Linked DNA regions of Caenorhabditis elegans. The protein of the gene in region 2 interacts with the protein of the main gene of each other region in a biochemical or structural test. Each region holds a gene or a part of one and is shown on either strand. Other genes may lie near its edges. The genes, in order: flp-23, frpr-8, flp-16 and flp-7.

What was found.
Region 1: the proteins of frpr-8 (region 2) and flp-23 interact in a test that uses a peptide from one of them, tested with the Caenorhabditis elegans proteins (one large-scale study listed by BioGRID).
Region 3: the proteins of frpr-8 (region 2) and flp-16 interact in a test that uses a peptide from one of them, tested with the Caenorhabditis elegans proteins (one large-scale study listed by BioGRID).
Region 4: the proteins of frpr-8 (region 2) and flp-7 interact in a test that uses a peptide from one of them, tested with the Caenorhabditis elegans proteins (one large-scale study listed by BioGRID).

The regions. Positions count from the first base shown.
Region 1 is NC_003281.10:8,648,710-8,653,628, reverse strand, and holds flp-23 (VVGQQDFLRF-amide), read right to left. Parts: upstream 2,863-4,919; 5' UTR 2,853-2,862; coding exon 2,727-2,852; intron 1,916-2,726; coding exon 1,715-1,915; intron 1,670-1,714; coding exon 1,544-1,669; 3' UTR 1,435-1,543; downstream 1-1,434. Other genes in the region: F22B7.9 (uncharacterized protein), read left to right, coding at 69-474, 625-760, 811-840; F22B7.3 (uncharacterized protein), read right to left, coding at 4,173-4,229, 4,275-4,444, 4,494-4,566. UniProt on the Caenorhabditis elegans protein: FMRFamides and FMRFamide-like peptides are neuropeptides.
Region 2 is NC_003284.9:8,695,155-8,703,695, reverse strand, and holds frpr-8 (G-protein coupled receptors family 1 profile domain-containing protein), read right to left. Parts: upstream 5,880-8,541; coding exon 5,656-5,879; intron 4,778-5,655; coding exon 4,675-4,777; intron 4,388-4,674; coding exon 4,166-4,387; intron 3,162-4,165; coding exon 2,920-3,161; intron 2,588-2,919; coding exon 2,444-2,587; intron 1,951-2,443; coding exon 1,828-1,950; intron 1,780-1,827; coding exon 1,695-1,779; intron 1,540-1,694; coding exon 1,504-1,539; intron 1,000-1,503; coding exon 874-999; downstream 1-873.
Region 3 is NC_003280.10:13,233,059-13,238,920, reverse strand, and holds flp-16 (GQTFVRF-amide), read right to left. Parts: upstream 3,616-5,862; 5' UTR 3,587-3,615; coding exon 3,499-3,586; intron 2,033-3,498; coding exon 1,842-2,032; 3' UTR 1,504-1,841; downstream 1-1,503. Other genes in the region: romo-1 (Reactive oxygen species modulator 1), read left to right, coding at 1,015-1,077, 1,209-1,394. UniProt on the Caenorhabditis elegans protein: FMRFamides and FMRFamide-like peptides are neuropeptides. AQTFVRF-amide inhibits the activity of dissected pharyngeal myogenic muscle system.
Region 4 is NC_003284.9:5,883,689-5,888,330, reverse strand, and holds flp-7 (TPMQRSSMVRF-amide 2), read right to left. Parts: upstream 2,467-4,642; 5' UTR 2,465-2,466; coding exon 2,370-2,464; intron 2,254-2,369; coding exon 2,215-2,253; intron 2,163-2,214; coding exon 1,872-2,162; intron 1,825-1,871; coding exon 1,716-1,824; 3' UTR 1,498-1,715; downstream 1-1,497. UniProt on the Caenorhabditis elegans protein: FMRFamide-like neuropeptides. Stimulates serotonin-induced fat loss by binding to and activating the npr-22 receptor which leads to induction of the atgl-1 lipase and subsequent fat loss.

The DNA.
Region 1 (4,919 bases), on a different chromosome or scaffold from region 2:
GTTCGATCCTGGTTCGGGGCATTGCTTTTTTAATTTTTGATTTAATTTTGAAAATGTCTTATTTTCAGATCATCATGATGACTGGGAAGGTGTCAACACAATTTGCCACACTATTGATAATATTGTCAATGTTGAGATGGAAACTGACTTTTTCGATGGAAAATCTGTTTTGGAAATCGGATTCGTAACTGGACTCCCATCAGTATATGCTTTCGAAAATGGAGCAGAAGAAATTGCAATGCACACAATGGATAAGACTAGTTTGGAGCTTTACTGTCGTCCAACACTTAAGAGAAATAATATTCCAATGATCAAGACCAAGGTTTCATGTGGTACAATTGAAGAGGCAATGAAGTTCCTTGGCGGAAAAAAATTCGACATCATTTTGGCACCAGATCTTCTAAACCGGCAAGAAGCAGAATTTGATTTGGTTCACGAAATTCTGCACCAAGGACTCTCGTATGATGGAATTTGGTAAGTTTCAAAAAATCGAAAAAGAATTGCCCCGAACCAGGATCGAACTGGTGACCTTACGATCTTCAGTCGTACGCTCTCCCAACTGAGCTATCGAGGCACATTTTCCGCTGTTCATTTGAGTCTTCATGAAATATCTCTGTTTTGCAGTCTCTTCTCCTGCCGCACACACTACGCAAACGTTGACGGGTCGTTGACCGCCTTCTTACAACTGGTGAAAAGACGTCGTGAATTTGAAGCAATTGAAAGATGGTCTTCTCCAAGAACTGATATCATTCAACAAAAGGTTGGCAGAAAATTGAATTTTAATTTAAAAATTAATTTTAAACATTCCAGGTCTTTCAACTCACTCGTTCATTGTTCTGATCGTCGATGCATACCGAATCTTCATTTAATCCCAAACATCTGTAAATATGAAACTGAACAATGTGCCTTCTTGACACTGATATAATTCTCCATATTACGGTTATCTCATCACTCAAGTTTTATCCTCAATCTGTTTTTCTTTCGAAAAATTGTACTCATTGAAATACATCACATTTGATGATTTGTCGGTATAATAAATTAATTTAATTTCAAACTTCTTTCGGAATATTCTCTGTACTACTGCAAAAAAGAGCGGAACCCGGTCTTGACACGACAAATTTTTGTTAAATACGAGTAGGTGTGCGCCTTTGAAGATTACCGTAATTACAAACTCTCGTTGTTGCTGAATTTTTGAATTTTCAAAGTAGTTTCCTCTAGGAAAATACTTTGAAAATTCCGATTGAAATATATTTGTGTAAATACTAAGCATTTAGAATAAAACGATTTAATCAAAAAATTAAATGATAGTAATCTTCAAAGGCGCACAACTAACATTTGTCGTGTCGAGACCCACTACCGTACTTTTCGGACGAAAATCTCAAAGTTTCGTATCTGGATTATATCTTTATAACTTCATATTTCATGGAATAATTGTTTAACAAGAAGATATTTTATTTATAACGATTCCCCACACATTACAATAGTTTCGAGAATGTAATATCAAGTAAAAAAAAATAATCGGACGCATCGAATCCATATTATTTTATTGATAAACAATCTCTGGCTCCCCATTGACCCGAATATACGAATTCTTCACATCATCAGGTCCTCCTTCCGATCCTCCACCAACTCCAGAAGCCATTCCGGCTCTTCCGAATCGCAAAAAGTCCTGAAAGCTGATTAGAAATTGTTGAATGCTGTGCTCAACTCTCACATTTCTTCTAGGCGGCGCAATTTGGCTCATGAACTCGGGATGACCTTCCCGTTTTGTATTTGGACTCGGGCTTGACACAGAAATCGATGAAAGGGGAAGTGGTTTCTCATGAACACATATTTTGTCGATAACACAATCACGGTTAGAAGTGAATAGACAAGGAACAAATAATTCAACTTCTCGACATGTGGGAGCCAATCTCTATATTAATTTTAGAAATTTAATAAGTTATTCAAAAATTATAAGACGCACCATGCCAACTTTTTATGTTAAAAAGTTTTGAGAGTTTTGTGAAAATATCAACTACAAAATCTAACATTATTGATAGATCAATGATATTCTCCAACTGATCGGAAGTGTAAATTCAAGATTTTGTGTATATTTCCGAATGATTAGAAACCTCTACTGAAGCTTGATCTATCGAAAATCAAATGACTAATTTTTTGATATGATATTAAAACACATTATAATTTTGACAACAAAAAACAACGAACCTGAAATTTTGTTTTTTTTCTGTCAAAAATATACCCGGCCTCGACACGACAAATGTTCAATGAATGCAAAATGGCGTAAGCTTTTAAAAAATACTGTAATTTAAAACATTTGTTGCTGCCGAATTCAAATTGATTTTTCATAGCTTAAAAAAAAGTTTTTGTTAAAATTTTTGGGTTAATTCTGAGTTGTTTAAAACATGAATACATATATTTTCACAAAACTAAGTCGATTCGGCAGCAACAAAAGTTTGAAGTTACAGTACTCATTGAAGGCGCACATCTTTTTGCATTTATTGAAAAATTGACGTGTCGAGATTGGGTACCGTATATTTGACGAAGAAATCGTAAAAATCTCGTGTCTGGCTAATATGGCGAGGTTTCTATTTTTATAAAAATCTTACTAGAGGCATTGGAATAATATTAGGCTTTAACTTGTGGGTTGAGATTGTTCTACTTTCCACGTGACTCTTATGATCCAATGTTACAATGGCTCACTCAAAATGAAATAAAAAATTCACCTGTTGTCCAACGACACGCTCAAACGGAACAGCTCTTCCGGAGCGAAAAAGAGCACCGCGGACAGCCGCTGTTTCTTGAAGAACGACGAGAATATATAGAAGAATTGAAATTTTTGGAAGAAGCATCTCGTTGAGAGAGAATATAAAATAATCTCATAGAATTTAGGACCATCTTTTATACAATAGTATACCGGATGATAACCATGTTGTAAATCTATCAAAAGACAAATCTCGAAATCAGTATTGAAATTAATGTTACGTAAAATCCTAGAAAAAATAAATTAAAAGCTATAAATCTATCTTTGCTTCCTCTCAATCGTACGACTATATACTCAAAAACCAAATATGCTTGGTTTTCCTAGCACTCTCCGTCTCGGTCCCCCTCGACTCGAGAGGGCCTCGAGAATGTTGTAACGCTCAAAGTCCCCCATTTTTCTCCAGCCGGGCAGTGGCCGGATGGTCTAGAGGTATGATTCTCGCTTCGGGTGCGAGAGGTCCCGGGTTCGATTCCCGGTTCGGCCCAAACATTTTGCCTTAATATTTATCGTTAATTTTATGTTCTAGCGGTGGATTTCTTCAGGCTCGAGTTATTGATATATTTGAATACCTTGCAAAAATAAAGAACTTATTTTGGATATATTAATGGTAGGCGTTTTATTGTTTGAATGACCAAGTTGAATTATTCTTATTTAAATTCATTCCCGCTCTGCAATATAGATTTCAAAAGAACGTGCACAACACAAGAGTAATAGGAGCATAATAAGGACACTGTTAAAAACAGGAGTACCAGAGAAAAAAGACAAAAGATTTGTCAGAGTTTTAAATAATTATACTTTGCCACTTTTGTTTTCCAACAAGAAATTATGAGTTGTTCCAAAAACATATGCCTAATTACCATTCGTTGACTAATACTGTCACAAAAACACCGTAGTTTGTTTCAAAATCCAATCCGTCTTTGCAGTCCAAAAGATTCGATTCAGCCGTTCTAAACCGAAAATATTACGCCCACGGTTAGACCATATCATGTGGAAAAATAAATATTTACAGTTTAAAATATAACATTTTTATCGAGAATTATAAAACAGTTTTCTGCATGGAATAAATAATCAATGATTTTGAATGAACGAGCTTTTTTTTCAAACGATGAATCAATTGCGTCCTAGACAAATTGACAAACAAAATCAATACTCACGACCGGATCAATCAGAGGAGTGCTCCAATAGCCTCACAGTTTTTTTTGTACAAAGCAATGCTAACTATTGTTCGGTAAGTTGTTTCGTTTTTTCTCAGTTTTGATTTTTTTTCTCTGATATTGTTTTGTGAAACATAGTAGCAAGTAAGTAATAAATATCTAATAAATATCGGTAGATTCTAGCAACTTCCAGACTGTCCCATTGCCTAATTTAATAATTTAACAAATTAGTTTATTCGGTTTCAAAAAATGAATCAATTACACCCAAGACTGCGGTCAACAAACAAAATCTTCCACCCAAGTCCATTGTCCTGAAAAATTAGTTTTGTCTTCAAAATATTGATTCAATAACCCACATTCAAAGCGCTAACTTTCATGTCAAATTCTTGTCTGTACTTGAATAAAGTGAAGGTATTAACATGAAGAATCATTTCTCCTGATGTTTTATCTCCCTTGAAATCTTTAATTGTGATCTTTGGATCTTCGTGATGAGCAGCAAATTGTTGAAGCCATTTGAAGAACATTCCTGAAAATTTTATTAAAAAAGACTTTGAAATATTATTACAGAAACCAACCTAAATTTTCGTAATGTTGAGCATTACATTCATTGAACAACATTTCAAGATCCAGGTAATTATTGTGTGCCATGAAGGCTTCTGGTGTCTTTTTTTTGGATTACGTCGATTAGAAGTTGGACATAGAATTTGGTAAACTCCTGGAACGTAGTGGGATCCTTAGTAAGATCAACTACTTCAGGTTGATCAAAACTTTTCAGGAATCTTCTTGCTTTTGGTGCATTTTGCAGATCATGAGTACGAATCTGAATTTCAAAGGAATTATTCCTGCGTTTGGACATCAAAGTGACACGGGTTTCCGTTTCACATTCAGAAATCGATTTCGAATCGCTTGACATGACACGAGTTTTCTACAGAGGTTTGATTAAATTTACGAGGCATCATACCATTAAAAGGTAAAATTTCGTCACTAACTCTGATAAACAC
Region 2 (8,541 bases):
TTTTTCAAAAATCCTTTCGAAACTTGACCTACCAATTTTATTGAATATAATATTGACACAGTTTTCAAAGTACAATGGTTCCCTGCACATATCGAGCGGATACACATTTCAGAGTATTGACTGTAACTTGATAAACATTTAAGCTGTGCCTGCAAATTTTATGAGGCATCCCCACCCTGAATTTGATCGAACGATTTGTCCGAATGTATTCATATTCCTAGTAAAAATATTGGGACTGTTGAGTGAGGAAAATCAATGAAAATAATTGAACATATATTATTCCCGATTCCCAAAAGCTTAAAAGATAAACATAAGCATAATTTTGAATAAATAATACTTTTTTTTAAATATACGAGAAATTTACTTTATTGGACCATTGCTGTATTTCACAATGAAATCTTGAGCATTATCATCCAAAAACGTGAATTCAAAAATTGCGGAGAAAATATAAAACTATATAAGTCTGAAATAATCAAACTTGGACTCAATTAACAATTTTCCGAGCAATTTTTAGTGACACTTAAGTAAAACTAGCCAAGCTGAAATGAATTGGTCAAATGTTAGCAACCCAAGAAAATGAATACAAAAGAGATCGCAAGAATCGGGATGATTTTGGAGGGAGATGACCAGTACTACTTTTAGACTAGACAATTTGTAACTAGTAACTTTTGATTATGGCAGGCAGGTGAAAAATAAATATTAGAAACGAAACAAAAAAAAACAAAACAGAAATGAAGCGTTCAATTCATAATGATATTGCAGTTCTTATCAAATAATACATGGTATCGAAAAAATGCTCAAATTAACAAAATCCATGAAGATGTGCAGTAAAGATATATACAGAAACATGATAAAGGTTTGACGTGTTTTCCGTTATGAAGGTGCGCTTTGAAGCGAAAGTCTGTTTTGAGCACTTGTGTAGATTACTGTATCTTTTCGAGCAGGAGCTGCTTGATGTGGTGCACCACTTTGACTCCGTTTACTCCATCGGCGAGAACTCTGAAACACAAATTTTTGAAACTTTATGGAAACTTTATTTTACATACTGTATGTTTGAGTATTATAGTTAATTACTAAAGAAAAAATGGATGTTTCAAATATGAACGTCAAACTTTCGGTAAATTAACAAATTACCAAAACAGTAACGAAACAGCTATATTGTTTAAATATTATTGATGGAAAGATAATTAAACTGTGAAACTTGTTTAAAAAATTTTGTCCGCTTTCCACAGTTATCATATTAAAAAAATTTGCTTCAAATTTATAAACTACTCTATTTAAAACGCATTAACCCCAGTTTCCAATCAGAACAAATTATGTTAGAACCAATATTATCAAGAAATCAAAAAATAAATCAAATAAAAACTCTAAGAGGTTGGAGATTAAGTATATTGGGGAAAATGGGTAAGGTACATGCAAATCAGTCCGGGGAGAAAATGAAACTGCACACGAACTAAATGCGTTTCTAGACAATATTATTTCTATTTTCCACACAAAACTTACCACCGGGTAGGTTATGAAATTCGAAATCGTCATTCGCTGTAATGGTTCTTTTGAAAACAATTTACAAAGCAGTATACCAAAAAGCAAAAGCATAGTAAAGAAATATGAAATTGTTTTCAATTAATCGAGAATGTTCATTAAAGAAGAATAATTAATAATGAATGTACCGATTTACTTTTTTTAAAGCTTACCCTCGCACTTAACAGAGCAGTACTGGCGTCCAAACTAGTTTTCCTCGTCGTACCATCTCTACCATCCCAATCACTGACCATGCTCCTGAATGACAATTTTTAGAAAATTTGAACAATGCAGTGATAGAATTACTGAGGTGGGTACCTTCCAACTTTGAGCCACTCCATCCATCGACTTTGTCGCCCGCAAAGCATGAGGACACACATTTGACGAAATCGGGCTCCGAATAACGAGTAGATCACGATGTTGGAAGCGCTAAAGGTTATTTGTTCATACATACAATTCAAAAACCTTGCCACACTAGGGCTTAAGTTCATTTATTTTTCATTCAATAACTCTATTTGAAAAACGATTCAGCATCATGCACTTCCAATTTTATAACCTCTGTGATATAAAATTGGAAGGTGGTGTTTGGTATAAAATGTTTACTTGTTCATTTTCAAAAGTTTGCGTTGATGTTGAGGATTTTAAACTTTTAGATTGAATGATTTATTTCACCGAACTTGATTCAGACTTCTTTGAAAATTTTTTTGAAATTACTTAGGGTCATTTTCAGTGTTTCAAAGCATCTTAAAATCATGGCAATATTTGGAAAACATTTCGAAAAGACAGATTGAACCCAAAAAGTAACCCGGAAAAGTTTCTTTTTCCATACTAATGTGCTCTCTGCCACTTTCATGTAGAAACCGATTCTAAAGTTTTTCGAGCACACAGCTTCTAACACGTTATAATTACTAAAACTTCTTACCTGTTTAAACAAATTAGCAAATTTCCAATGGGACTCCAAAATCCTAAGCTCACTTCGAACACCGTCTCAGCCAAGTTGTTCACTGCTGCTACTACGTTGAAGATCAAGAAAGTGAGCACCATAGCGATGGCCATAAGAGTGCATCTGAGACTGTTTCTGAACTTGGGAGACAAACTGTTTTCTACTGTTTTTGAATTTTGTCGAATCGAAAAAAAAGAGGGAGAAAAGTTCTGAGCGATAGTTGTTTTCAGATAATAAAAAATAACAAAAACATGCAAAAATCAAAAAAGCTGGTTCGGTTCTTGTAATAAACGTTAGCAGTCCATGCTTGAAATAAGAAAAATAAATAATCATTAAAAAATGTAAATCGATGTATTTGAAAATTTTTAAGAAACTAGAGAACCGAACTTAACATCAAAAAACTGGTGAAACCAAAGTTTAAAAAATAATTAAAAATAAAAATGATAAAACCACACCTCCGATCTTTTTCTTCTTGATTATTTTTTCCTCCTTGCATAGACCTCCGAATCTTATACGCCTTGTGTACAGCCTTTACCACAAACACATTCAGTATAATCATTACTGTCCATGGAATCAATAACAGCGCGATGAGGTACCCAAATGTTACGTAGTACTCTTTGTAGTACTTATTATCCCGCAGAAATGAGGTTCTCAGTCGACCACAGTCATCGTTGGTCAACTCGAAGAACATTGGTGCCTGAAGATGACTTGTATCACGGATAGTCGCCTACTAAACTTATTACGATGTTCCTCAGTTTGCAAAGTAGTACATTAATTTAGAACATTTAGAATAACAATCCATATAGTCTTTTGAATCAGAAAATAACACAAAAAAAGAAACTACCAATGTTGTATTCACAACCTAAAAGTTTTGCGTGGTTCAAGTTGGCCGTAAAATTAAAACAAGATGAAAAAAGGTAGGGATTTTGTATAATTGTACCTAACTCATTTTTTTTAAATTAAATTTTGAGCTAAATATCAGTGCTGTGCGGCTTGCGCCGAGAGCCGACTTTTTTCAAGGGCCGCACAGCACTGCTAAATATTGAAAAATCTCTAAGTTATTCATTGAAACTAGGGGAACCTAAAAAGCGTATTGTAAGTTTTCTAGTGTTTTTGAGTGTACTTTTTTTCAATTTGTAAAATTACAATCTGATGGAAAATAATTTATAAAAAACAGCGATTTTCGAGTTAATATTAAATATTATAAATACTGGAATTTCAAGCTCATCTGCTTTTCCTCCACAGAATTTTTAATTTTGTGATAATGTAAATTACGAATTAATTTTTTTTCAACTTTCATGTTTTCCCCGGTGTCTTAGAAATCAAAGTCAGTAGCTCTTGTGTTTTGATATACACACGCAAATGTATATTTTAAAAATTCTAAAATAAAATTGAACATTTTCACACAGTGATCAACTTATTATCAATGAACAGTGTGCTGACATGTTTAATATTCTGAATGCTTGAATGATTTTAAAACTGGGGTCACAAACTCTAATAGCATTGATGTTTGTTTTCACAAGAAATTTTATTTTAAAAAACCTTTAAACTACAATTATCGTAGCAACAGACTTCCGTAATATGCAAATTTGATATATTATAAAAACATTACTTTAGACCATAATAGTCAGGATACGAAACTTTAAAACGTTGTGTGTATTTCGAAATACAAAATAAAAAATTGACAATTCTTGTACTTACTTTGAACAATATGCTAAAAACCGTAATCGCAATAAGTATTGTTGTTGCTCGGCGCGGTGTGCACCAAATTTTGCTATGAAGCGGATAGTTAACAGCAAGAAATCGATCCACCGTCACTGCAACACATGTCCAGACACTACCACATTGTGCGATATTTGATATGGGTAACGTCCAAGGAGTTGATCTCCAGAAGAAATGACAAACCGCGGTGTCCCCGTGACCCTGAATAGTTTATTTGAATTATTGCTAACATAGTTGTTTTTAGTGGTGTTCTGAAACATTCATATTTCTGGAAACATAAATTATACGCAGTTTCTAAGACATTAGAAAATTATTTCAGACCTTGATGAAACTCGAAGTTTTGAGAAATATTAAATCCCTCTTCAATATCATAAATAACTTTTTTCATTTCTCTTTCCGTGCTATGAGCTTATCGATGAATAAATTGATGGACATTTCTTCATCTCATTACAAATTCCACTGAATATCAACCAGTTATCTACGCTCACCTGCAAAACGCAACCTTGGAGAGGTGAAAAGATCAGAGCACTGAATGAAAGCAGGATAAGATCGAAAACCGATAATCCGGCAAGATATACGTTGAGTGATGATCTGAAGTTAAAAATATTTTGTATTTCTATGTATCCTTATTTGCTCTTTTTTCTTGAAATGAGTATTTGAACAGACTACCAAAGAAAATTAAAACTAAATAAATGGGGAACAATTTGATGTCATTAATTTTTCAAAAAGATTAATACAATCAAAAAAAATCATAAAAATGTCGTCAGTTGTACATGAATTAAAATGTTTATTAAGGGCCAAGAAAATTTGAAATCACTGTTTCAATTGAATTGTGCAGCAAGAACAAATTGAAAGATTTATTTGAATAGTTTTTGATCATTTTTTGAAATGAATAGCAGCCTAAAGCTATAGCTCGTTTTTGACTAATGTGAGGTAAATTTTTATAAATATATAGGCTAATAAATATTTATTTTTAGAACTAAATAGCGTATTTTTATCAGGGAAAAACATTTGGTGTTTCCCTAACTTTATTTTTGATTTACTTGTTGGACAAGACTCCTTCTTTATTCGACAAAAAAGGCAGAAACATAATTTGTGAAAAAAAAAACTGCTATCGTTTTTTTTTCATATAAAAATTATTATTTTCCTGTGAACCATTTGGGGTACAGATATACACGCATCACATATTCATTTTTTTAGAAATAATGATTAAACATATTACCTATCCACGTTACTGTGTTTGTTAGAAGATATAGACGCAGAAAAATGAAAAAGTTTCCCTCGTACACGTTTCCGTAAGCCACGTGACTTCGTCGTCCTTTCTCAAAACGTTCGAAGTCTTTTCGTTGCGGGGAACAGATTTTCTTTGCGTCTCTTATATTTTCTAACTTAAAAAGTGAAGTGGATAGGTAATTCGAATTCAGTCCTTTCTAGATATACTCTCACAAGTACTCTTCAATAAAACGAACCTCATTTGTTTCCTAGTGAACACCACAATGCACATTACCGCAGCGCCGGCTCCCAGCACGCAAATTGTTGGAATGGCAAGCAGGTAAATATATGTGCTAATGTAATCGACCTCCGCAAAATTAGTTGGATAGCTGCATGTTCCTTTTGTACTTCCAGAAAAACCTGGCTGATCCGTAGTGACCAGTGTAGAATTATTAAGAAGCGAAATAACTGTCGAGTTCATAGCCAGAGGCCGAAGTGGTGTGGCACACACTGGAACACGATAAAAATTGGTTTTAGAAAGAAAAAAGGCTCTAACTAAGAGATAATTGAGTTTTGGTTGAAACGAAACAAAAAAGCGAAGACGGAGCAACCAAAGTTCAAAAGTTGAAAAAAAGAAGCAGTGACGTAGGGGTCTATTCAAATTTAACGATTAACATACATCCTTGAAAATGGTATTAGGTGACTAAATTCTTCAATATAAAACTTGTAAAACAAAACGAATATATATGAAACTTCGGAGAAAGTAGGAAGTAAAATTTATGGTATACATACTAACACAAAAATGAACTTGTAATTAGTTTATTCGAGCGAATAATTAAATGAGAACTTTTTTTCAAAATCAGAGTTTTGGTTTGTTAAGAAAAAGAAAGTAAACTAAGATAAGAGTGAAAATTTAAAACAAAAACACATAGTTGACAATTTCAGTAAGATACGTTTTTGTTACTCGTACTTTCAAAAAGTCTAGGAGAAAATACACTTATTTTCGAAAATTTTGAACAAAACCATCCACTAATTTCTTAAGTTTTTCTTTCTTTTCAAAACAAAAAAACAGTTGGATCTTCAAGACTAACTAGTCTTACTTTATTGATGCCTTACAAAATGGCTTCAAAAAAGTGAGTTCTGGTAAATAGTAGGGCATCAATGAAAAGACGAAGCAGAATTGAAATATACTACTAGTCATTTTTATGATGTTCGACTATATATAGTATCAAGAATTTGTGAATAACTACTGAGAAAAAGGGGACTGCATGGTCAGTAATGAATATGTTAGCGGAGAAGTGGAAGCCAAAAAGTCGTGAACGGCTGGTATCATCACGTAGCTTTCACAAAAACAAAGGAGGTTCTTTGAATAAGCAATGATGATTGAAGAAATGTTATTTGATATTTGAAACCTGTTCCAATTACGGGGAATAATAATTTACGAAAACTCACTTTAAATATGATTTGTCAAAATACAAGATTAGTTAAAGAAGTATGGTTTTACTGAGATATTGTACCCAAACCAAAATCAAAGAGCGATAAAGACTTGTTTCTGTTTAGAAAAAGAGTTTGAAAATTGGATTCTTTGTATTTTTAACTTTTATATGTAAAATAATACAATGATAAAATTTTTTCAAACGATTTTGATCAACTTATTCATTCTAATTGTAGATATACTCACTCACCAAAATGAAAAAAAGTTTAAAAAAAAAGAAAATTAACATGATGTCATTGTAATTTCCGGATAAAATATATACTTTAAATTGAAGACTTTGAAGAAAAAATTCATATTTTTTGGCAAGCTCTAGTTGACCATTCACATATTTCATAATTCATAGCTCAAGGACATATTTTTACACTCGTTGTTCAAACGAGCATTTTCTTGGAAAAAACATTCGATGTATTTTTGGAAGATGTATTCACTCTAAGAAAAACAAAAATATCGAAGTTCTAAAAGTGAGCTCTTGATATTCTTGCGTATTCATTTTAGCGGAAAAGTGAGCTTGACTCAGATAGTCATTATGTGCAAAGTTGTGTACGGAAAAATAGTCTTAAAAACTATAACGATAATTATCGAATTAAATTGAAAATGAAGGAAATGGATATGAAAAATACATTCGTGAACTTATAGGAACTGCAAAAAAAGCAAGAGGTGGATTATTCATTTCATACTTATTTAAAACGAATAAATACTAAAAGTGGAAGTAGAAAAAAGTTCACATATCGAATGAATCATGAATGAGAGCAAACGTTGTCTCGGGAAGACTGAGAGCATTTTCAGCTACGAAACCCTCAAACATGGAGTCAGTATCTCACGCGAAAGATCGTCATCGAACCGCGTCGGTCATGGTTCACAAAATGAAAGGAATAACGTAAAGGATATGGGCAAAAATCTATGGACTATCTGAGAAATTAGGGAAATGAGCATAGATGACGGACAATCCGGTTTTTTTGTTGCGGTAAGTTGAAGTAAAATACAATACTATCAATCTGATAGTAAGCTTGATTAGTACTATCCAAACACAAGTTTTAAATTTGATGAACTGACAAGAATATCAGTAACTATTGGGTAGGACTTGGCTCGGAAAACTAGGAATTAGCATTAAAAAAACAAAAACAGGATCAGTTCTGAAAATAAATTTCATATATCCAGCTATTTTAATTCAAAACTAATGGGTCCTGTGAAATATCAAAATTGTATAGTTTACTAATGAAAACCCTTAAACAGCCTGAATTTCAGTTTTTTTTTTGTATTTTTCTGTGGCATGTATCTGAACTGTGTTTTTGTAAACCTGAGTAGTCCAAGTGAATATAAACATTTCAAAAGTAGTAAAATTTTAATCTAATTGAATTGAATTTATTTAACTATGGAAAAGAGAGAAAAAATCATTTCAGTGTTTCTATCTACTATCGTTTTTGTATATATGTATTCTAAATAAATAGTAGAAAATTATAAGAAAAAATACGGTACTTAATACAATTTTGAAAAAAATGCTCTAAACTTTTCAACTCGAGAAATTTAAAATATCATAATTTTCATTTTCTCAAACTAAATCAGAAATCATCTTGATTTACTTAAAATTTGTTTTTGTCTTTTAAAAATTTGAAAATTGATAGGGGCATTTTCAACAGAAAAAGTATCT
Region 3 (5,862 bases), on a different chromosome or scaffold from region 2:
GGACAAACACATTTAGTTTTACAACTAAAATCGAGCCGCGACGCGCTTTAAATCTACCCCAGATATGGCCGAGCCAAAATGGCCTAGTTCGGCCTAAACTCTTCCATTTAAATTTACGAGGGAAGCCAGAAATTCGTGGATCCTGGCACGAGAGAAACTTTTCAGCTACCATACCAAAACTGTGCGGCATTTTTCGGCAAAGCTAGAAATTTGGGTTATTTCAACCCGATAATCCAACTTTTTTGGTCTAGAATTTATATAGAAATGTAGAAAACTGGTTGTTCTATCTGAAAATAACATGTATTTCTGATGAAAAACGTATAAAAGCTCTCAAATAGTGCCTGGAAGTAGAAGTTTGCCGAAAAAGTGCCGTTAAAAAAATGTTTTTTCGGCAAACTGCAATTTTCAGGCACTATTTTTTTTGTAATTTTAAATGTGAAATATTTAAATGTATCAATAACACGTAAAACATCGACAAATTTCTAGAAACTCTTAAAAATCGATATTTACAGTACTCCCGGGTACTGTAGCTGAAAAGTTTTGCTCCTGTGCGTATAAGAGGTTATTAATTGGCTTGAAAAAAACGATTTCTTTCACAAAGTGGAAAATAACTCTCATTTCAACGGATAGAGAGCTCTCCAGAGCAATTTTTTCTGGAATCAATTTCAAATATGAAATAACCAAGAATTCGCTGAACAATTTGAATTTTAACTGTTTTAAATCGCTGCCGATAATCCAATATTAACTTATTATTCCATTTTTCTCTAATTTATTTGAGATTTTATGATTCGTAGCTCTGAATTCGAATTAATTCTTAAGAATTCTTCAACTTTCCAACAATAAAATTTACAAATCAAATTACGCGCCAACAGAAATTGCTGGCGCGTTTTCAGTGCCTTTGCGCGGTTTCCGTGTTATTTATTTTATTTTTACATCATTTTTTGGTTGTTTTCTTCTCTATTTGTTGTTCTGCTCAATAATTAATCAAATTTAATTTCTTATTTAAATTCCAGAATGCCAGTTCCTTCAGGATATGCAGCACACCCACAAGGAAGCCAACCGTCGTGTTTTACAAAGGTCTGGTTTTTTTAAAAATATTTTTCAGATTTGAAATTATAAATCATACTGACATTTGCAGAAAGAAAATAAATTTATTAGAAATGTCAGATAAAATTTGCAGAAATCTAATTTATTTTCAAAATTTCCAGATTCGAATGGGATTAATGATGGGAGCAATGATTGGCGGAGCAACAGGCATTCTTCTCGGCGGATTCATGGGCTTCAGAGCTGGCATGCGAGGCAAGGATCTTCTCCTACAAACCGGCAAAACTGTGGCACAATCCGGCGGATCATTCGGCGTCTTCATGGGTGTTGCCCAGGGTCTTCGCTGTTAATCTTTACTTTTTTTGCTTGTTCCCCTCCAACCTGTTTTCTGTTTTTTCCCCCGTTTAAGTTTCCACAGGCGCTAGGTCTTTCATAGAAAAAACTCAATAAAAAAATAAAATTAATCAATTCGTTCATGGAGTTCAGAATCAAATCATCAATCAGAAACAAGCTAAAATTGAAAACAACGGTCTCGAAATTTATTGAGGGTACACTGGTACACACAGGGAGAAGAGAAGAATGAAAAAACGTACATATTCAACATATCTCATCGGTGTCGATTTAAGAGTGAAAAAAAAAACGGGACATAAGACAAAATACTGGAATTTTTGGGCTGAGAAAGTGTTATGAAAATTAACACGTTTAGGGGGCTCAAGGGATTATTAGGAAATACTAGGAATTTTAGGCCATCTGATGAAGTCGACCCGCCACTCTCTCGGACACAAAAACGAGCACATTTATTGCTCGAACGGAGCACTTCGTCCGAATCGTACAAAGGTTTGACCTCTCTTGCCGAATCTTACGAATGTCTGCGCTCTCTTTCCAAATCTAACAAATGTCTGTGCTCTCTTGGATGGTCGTTGTTCGGCAAACAGGGATCCGGAATCAGGAAGTGCTGACATTTCATCGGCTACTCCATAGGCATAATCTGAAAATGTATATATTTAAGTAAGACGTCATCATTTTCGCCGTCATCTTCATGAAAGTGGTGGTGGGGTTTTGATGGATGATGCCTATAGGTCCGAGGTGAGATGAAGTGGTTATTTTGATGCGCCGGCGGCGAAGTTTTAATTAAAAATTGTATGTGTATGCGCCGCGTCGATGACTTTTTCCTTCCATTTTTGACTTTTAGCTCAGAATATTTAATGCAAAAAACCTTTTTTTTTCCAGATATCTTTTTTAAAAATTTAGCAGGCACGGGATTCTGGCCTTTCTCATTGAATTTTTCGCGCTCCATTGACAATTGCCCGCGTGGGAAAGTCGTGTACTCCACACGGACAAATGCATTTCGTTTTACAACTGAAATCGAGAAAAAAGAGCCGCGACGCGATACGCAACGCGCCGTAAATCTACCCCAAATATGACCGAGCTAAAATTGCCTAGTTCGGCAAATTCTTCCATCTCAATTTATGAGGGAAGCCAGAAATCCGTGAGCAGGATCCCCGATTGAGCAGACACATTATATTTTATTGGAATTTTTTTGTTGCAAATCTGCTTGCACTCCGCATAAAAACATGTGTAAGTGACGTGCAAAAAATGGAAAATATTTATTTTCGAATAAAATACTTTCGGATCCACACTCATTCATCAAATTTAGGGAGGTTTCTGTTGCCATGGTTTACGTTTTTTTTGTGCAGCTGCTTCTTTTTCAGGACTTTTCTAGATGTAAATGTGTTTTTAAAATTTATAAAAATTAATCTTTAAAGTTTCTAAAATTAATTTTACTGTTGGAAGTACAAAAAATTACAAAAAATATCGATTTTTACGCTAACAGGCTTCGAAAAAAGGGTGTGCGCCTTTGAAGATTACTGTAATTAAAAATTTGTGTAGTTGCGGAGTTGTCATCGATTTTTCTTTTCTTTTTTTTCTTCGTGTTTTTACTGTTTCAAATAGGTTTTTTTTAATGAATAAATATATATTTAAAGAAAAACAACTTACTAATAAAAAATCAATGAAAAAATTATTAGAAATCCTATTTATTTTAAATAAGAGTGGCCGAAATTTTTTCGTATATCCAAAAAACACAAAGTTCAAAAACCCAGACACTGGATCGCCCTGAATTCGGGAAAATCCCCAGACGTCCGCTTTACAAGCCTAATTTTGTTTTTTTACAAAAATTTCTCGGAATTTATTAATTTTTTCAAACTTAAAAAAAAAAATATTTTACAGATATTTTTTATGAAATTCTTTCTTTTTTTCTTTTTTGTCCTTTTTTATTTGAAAATCTAAATCTAACGAAAAACAAATTCATTCCGAGACCGGGGGCTTAATGGATTAGTATATAAAGTATATGTTTTGCAAGATTTGGCGGATTTCTCTTATAGTTTTGAAGCTTTTGTGCCTACCTAATGCCTGCCTAGACACAAGGCAGGTGTACGTAGCCAACTAACTCACCTGCGGGAAGTACTGCGGCTGTTGACAACTGAAGGATCAGGAGGAAGAAGGCAACAATCGAGGAAAATTCGAAACCGGAGAAATTCATTTTTTCAACTGGAGTTGTATGTGTATTACCTGGAAGATTAAAGGGTGCTGGGAGGAAAATGGGAAAGAAATTGAAAAAGTATATAACGTGAAAAGAAAAAGAAATTCATAAATATTCAATTCTCTAAGAGCTGTCACTCAAATTTGAAATGCATTTTAAAAAAGTAAAACTTTCAAAAGTGTTCAAAAAGGTAGAATAAAATTTGAAAAAAATCTCACGGGAGTGCTTAACCACCCTTCAAATGGTGCTTCAGAGCCCAAACACAGAGAGACGGGGGAGGGCGGAGTCTAACAGAGGGGGCACACACACTGCCTAGATGACGTTGGCGGGGTGGTGAGGACGACGGCGTGGGGAGGGAATCTGGGCGGAGCTTCAGGTTTCTAAACTTGTATGACGTGGCAAATGGATCGTTTTTAGAGTTCAGGGTTGGAAAATAATTTTCTCAAAGCCGGGTCGTCCAATATTTTTGTGATGCATATTAAAAATGTCCCAAAATAAATTCAAAAATTTTTTGAACCAAAGCTGTTTTCCTTAGCGCTCAAACCTGATTACACTCAAATTATCAGTAGAGCGCATTTGCATGGATGCAGGTGGTGTCAGAGTGTCCCATTTCGGTTTGATCTACGTAAATCTACAAAAAACGCGGGAGAAGAGTCGCAGAGTTCTCAACTGATGGTTAAGAACGGGCTGACGTCATATTTTTTTGGCCAAAAATTGGCGCATTTTTTGCAGATCAAAATGGAACAGCCTGGCACCACGATCAAGTTCAGATTTTTAAAATCTGAAGTCCTTAACTCAAAGTAGAGTTTTAAACCTGCGCGTCAATTATGGTGCATTATAGTGGTACGGTATACAGAGCCAATACGCCATATTTGACGCGCAAATTTGCAAATAGTTATAGTTGATTTTTGGCTAGGTTTGATCTACGTAGATCTACAAAAAATGCGGGAAAGGAGACGTAGAGCTCTCAACTGACGTCACATTTTTGTGCGAAAAATTCCCGTAATTTTTGTAAATCAAACCGTAATGGGACAGCCTGCCACCACGTGTTTTGGTGCAATTTTGAATTTTCCGGAAGTTTTTTTTCTTGTGACAAAAAACAACAATTTTCTTCCTGGATACAATATTGAATTTTAAAAATTGAATTTGAGTCAGAAAATCAAGATGACCTAAATAAATGCCATATTATATCTGGCATTTATAATCTTTGAGATTTTAGATTTTCAGGAGCTGAAATCGAAAAATTTTGCAGGTGGGATTGGGAAATTCAGCCAAATTTAGTGAAAGCCCGCTAATGACCCAGAATATATATTCAGAACAATATTTGAATATTTTATTTGGGAGATTAGATTAACACCGGCTATAATCTGCAATCCACCCACAATTGAAACAATAAAAAAACGTCACTTTTATAGTATAGTCTTCACTTTTCCAGAGAAATATATCCTATTATTATTATCTTGGAAATTCATGTTTCTAGCGTATTAGCGTATTACGTGCACTTTTCAATAATTAATTATGAAGGGAGAAGCCCCTCAAGCCCTCCCCGTGTGAGATCAAGTGTGAATTTAAAACGGGAAACGGTTCGATGAATGTTCCATTTTCAAAATTTTTTTGAAAACTGGGGGAATACTTGCTTAAGGATGATAAAGCGGACCCTGGAGACCTTTAGATTTTTGAAATTTTGAAAAATGGAGCGAAAATGATTTTCTGTTAAGTTGTTCTAGTAGTTTTTGGCAAAGAAAAAAAACCTAGCGGTCACGGTGAAAAAAGCTGGAAAATGTATTTCGTGCCGAGACCCAATTTTGAGACAAAATTTTCAATTTTGCCCTAAAAATAACATGGTGGTTAGCAGTGAGGTAATAACAATAAATCCGTAATTTGTCCTTCTTAGTTTGCGCGGAATATTTGGGACATGGGTTTGCTGTTCGGCAAATCGGCAAATAGAAATTTGCAATTCCGACAATTTGTCGGTTTATTGTTTGCCAGATGTCAATTTGCCGGAAATGTTTAGAGGGGTTTTTATAAGACGAATACACTTAAAACTGTGCCTTTTTGAATTTTTTCCCGTTCTCTTTAGATATTTTCATAGAATTTGATTACTTTTCAAAATAGATGTAGGAACATTCATAGGATGCGTACAATTTTACCGGAAGTTTCAATTCCGGTAATTTGAGCTCAAATTTTTCGAGGAAATTCTCCGAAAATAGTAGTCTAAGTCGAAAAAAACAGCTTTCACATTAGAAAAAAAACATTCAAAATAGCAAGCTTAAAGT
Region 4 (4,642 bases), 2.8 Mb from region 2:
TTGTTTTCCTCGCAACTTCTGGGAATTCATAATTTGAAAATGAAATATTTCAATCAAATATTTATTTCTAGGAGTTGGCGGTAGAATAGTAGAACTTGATTAAAAATCCCACAACCTCGTTTATTTGAGCTCAAAAAAATGGGCATGTAGAATTGTTTGCGGATGCGGAACTACTTGGGTATTACCATATAATAAAGCTTTTTAATGGTTTCAAAAACCTACAAGTGTTTTTTCAACTTTGGAAACATTGAAGAAAGCTTGAAAATTGTGTGTTGGTGCAATTTTAATTAAATGTGGACTATGATTTGTTGAAAACCACTTCTATGGTGTTAAATCAAACAAAGAACATGATACATTTTTGCAAAAAATTAGTAAAATTTTTTTCGGTGAAAACTTAAGAAGAAAATTCAGTCTTTACAAATTTTTTGAAAACGAATAATTAAAAAGAAGAAAATCATTAAATTTTTATAAACTATATGCACCGCTTTTTGATTCACAATTCAACATTTCCAAATATTTTTTTAAAGTTTTATTATGGTGCTTGGTCTTTATAGAACCATAAAACTTATTTTTTTCATTCCCCCTCAGCTCGTACTGGATGATAATCTGTTGAACATAGTTTGTGTGGTTAAAATAAACAGCAAAATAAAATAAACAGCAAAAAAAAATTTATGTGAAAAATTGTATGGCTAAAACAAGGAGAATTGTTCAAAATTTCTCAAAATTTCCAATATCTGATTATTTGCCAAAATTTTTTTTTTAATCTGAGGCATCCTCTATCCCAATATAACTTTAGATAATACTCCTTCTAGTTTTGTTCCGTTTGAGGTTTCCGATCATTTTGATATTATTACAACTTCCCGTCTGTTCTGACTATTACTAATAAAAAGTTATCTGACATAATATAAACAACTGCAAAAAAAATTAACCCATTCCAGAAAATTATATCGAAAAATTTACCATTGTCGGTTTGAAATTTATTAGATTTAGGCTTTCTCAATAAACCTCTATTATCCAAATACGTATATTTCTGATTTTCAGGAAAACGAGCGGGTGACCATGACCAAAAAGCTCTGTATGATTTATTGCCGTAGGGATTGAGAAGCCTTTACAATGTTAATAATCATTTTGGATTATTTTCTGAAAAGTTCAACTTAACTCATACGACGCTCTCCTAGGAGAGTCGATGCACTTTGAAATAAAGTTAACAACTTTTAACGTTATAGGGAAAGGCGCGAGATCAGGCTTTTCTGTAGCTGGGCAGGTTTGATCATATTTGAATACTGCAGCGAATGAGTGGACATGAAACCAGGCTCGGGACACAATGCTTTATGGCGCGAAACTAGTCCAAAAAGCAAAAAATGTACATTGTTTTTAATCAACTTACCAGACTCACCGTATTAGCCATTCTGAACAATTTTCCTGTTTTTTATAGTTTTATTTTTTTGAAATCCTCTCATCCTTTGCATTGCATGAATTTAAGATGAAGGACTGGAAAACAGGCGTCGGTTCTTTATTTTGCAAATCGCAAATTAATTTTGATACACTGGAGTATTTGGGTAGCGACCAATCTGTACTATTAGTCAAGTGGCACAAAAATAATTGTCAAAAAAAAATACATAAATGAAAAAGGTAAGAATAGGCCGTAGAACGAGATTAAACTACAATGTGAGACCGTTTTGTTCTTGGTAATCAAGGTGTTTGCATGTACTTGTTTATTCGCTGTCCTCGATGTTCTTCTCGTTTGATTGCATCTCAAATTCCATCGAACGTTTGCCAAAACGGACCATCGATGATCTCTGCATTGGTGTCCGTTTTCCGAGTCTGAACTTCAGCTTTATTCACAAAATACTTTTCACGTCAATACGTACCGAACCATAGAAGCGCGATCAATTGATGATCTACCAAATCGGACCATTTTCGATCGGTCCATAGGTGATCTTCCAAAGCGAACCATAGCCGAACGCTCCATCGGTGAACGTTTTCCAAAACGCACCATTGAAGATCGTTGCATTGGCGACCGTTTTCCAAAGCGAACCATTGAGGACCTTTGCATTGGCGAACGCTTTCCGAATCTAACCATGGATGAGCGTTGCATTGGTGACCGTCCGAACCGAACCATTGATGAGCGTTGCATTGGAGTACGCTTTTGCTCGTCAATTCTAAAAGTGCATAGTGTGAGAATAAAGTTTTTTCTGAATAATAACAACTCACAAGTCCTCCTCTGAGAGTTGCTCTCCTGACTTCTCGAGTCTGAAAAATATAAAAAATAGAAAAAATAGGAGTTCATTCAGAATAATAAAATAAATTTATTCACTCAACAAATCACGACAACAAGAACAACATAATATCAATAAATCTCAACTCACTCAGTTGGTTCTTGAACTTGTTGTTCGGCTGATTCCTCGGCCAATACCAAAACTAGGAGACCAAGAGCAAGAAGAAGGAAGCGGGATCCAAGCATTTCTAAAAGTCTTTGAATGAAAACGAGATGGTATTTTTCGATGACGTCATGTTTCCAAACATGACGCGGAGTGGTTTAAAAATTGAAATTTCAATCGAGAAAAAATGAGGAGAAAAGTTGAAAAGTCAAAAAAAAGAACCCTTCTTTGAGTGTTGGCAGAGGGAAATTCAATTTGTAACTTGAACTGCAAATTGGATTCAAGATTGAGTGGATTGCACAAGACCAAGCAACAGTAATCAAAAAATTTGTATTTGACAATTTACTGAAAAGAAAACTGATGACGGGGCAAAATAATCACAATCAGAAACGCAATAGAAGCTGCTATCCATACTTATATACGCTTTCATATTCCTGAGCTCGAGAAAGGCTCATGCTCCACCCCCTTCTTCTCATGCCTTCTAACCTTGTCTGATGCTATGACTCCGCCTTCGTCCAAACAAAAACTGGAAATCGGAACAAGGAGAAAAAATAACACCAAAAAAAAAAAAAATCAAAATTAGGTTGGAATCCATTGAGATGGTTGGCTATTTTTGCTAAAGACGCATTAGCCCGATTAAAAAAATCCAAGTTCACAGAGCAATCAAAGTGAATTATACGGATCTTGGGACACTTCATTATTCACGCGGTCCATCTCTGTTTGATTGTGTCGGGTATTTTAGGATACTAGCAAGCACTCTCCAGAAGAGCAAAGAGAAAGATGTTTGAAACCTTTTGAGCGGTCAGTTGAGAATTTAGGAGGAAGTGTTAGAAGAAGGCAAAAATAAAAATTAATTCAACAAATAAGTTTCCAAAAATTTTGTATGTATTACTTAGACACAAAGTTATCCGTACTGATGTACGTTGAAATTTCAATTTATAAATTTAGGTATTATTAAAACTATTATCAGGCTCTTCAACCTATAAAAAAGTCATTTTGGAGCCTGAAAAAAAATTATAAAATATATTATGTTTAATTGAAATGAATAAATGAATGAAAGTTCAATTTATTTTTAAACGGGGGTTGTGATGCACAAACACATATTTATCTAGTCCTTTTTATGTAAAATATTATAAGAGTCGCATAACAAAAATAATTTTAAGTACATTACAATACAGCTTCAAGATTAAGAAAATCAAAAAATGACGTTTTTTTTCAATTGTGGATACTGAAGTTTTTTAAGTTCAATTTTGTTCAAAAACTAGTTTAAAATAAAAAAAAAGAAATTTCGGTCAGTTTTTCTTTTGATCATTGATTGTGAAATGTAGAGTTTAAAATAGTTTCAGATAAAAAACTTAAGTACAATAACAGGTCTTGACACGAGTTTTCAATAAATAATGTAAAACATACTTTTTGCTCTTTTTCAAAGTATGTTAAAAATTGTTGAAACCAAGTACCATATCTATAAAACATGTGGTTTTGTGAATCTGGGTGATATGTCATATTACGTATGTACACTTATTGTAGATGCGTTTGAGTATTTTTGCAAAACCCTTTCAAAAACATTCCATAAGTATTTTATAGAATCACCTGTGCATTTAATTTCAAACGTTTCCTCAATTATCGTAACTCGAGCAAAAGATGTGAGAGATGCCAGAAGAGAAGCTGCTATTTCATAGAACTCTAAGTTTTTGAACTACTTTAAGTAACTTTTCCAGACACAACCAAGCTATTAACTTTGTTCACAATAAATGAAAACACGTGGGCCAACAATTCCGAAAAAATTGAAAATTTATACGGCGAGTTGTAAGTCTTTGTAAAATGACGAAGAAAACTTACAACTAATGTTACCGATATAATCTTAAGTCTACGTCAAAACGGAAATTAAGTCGCTGCTGCAATGAAATTAAGAATTCTAGAAAAATTGAAGGCGGAAAAGTTGAAAAGTTGAAAGTTTTTGTCAGTTTCCACACGTAATTTCTAGTTTATGAAACTACAATTGTTAAATCATTTTGACACTTTGATCACATGGTTATATAGGCTCCAATTTTGCTTTTTGTTTCGCTCCAAGAAACTTTCAGCTCTCGCATCACTATAAATGATCATGAATTTATTCAAGCAACACTAATAAATAAACATAGAAAATATGCCTTATCAGAATTCGCTGTTCTTTGACCGTATTCAAGGTTTTTTTTTCGCTAGAAACATGTATGATTAAATTTGTTTAACATTAATCGACGTAGTAGTTTTTAATAAGGGTA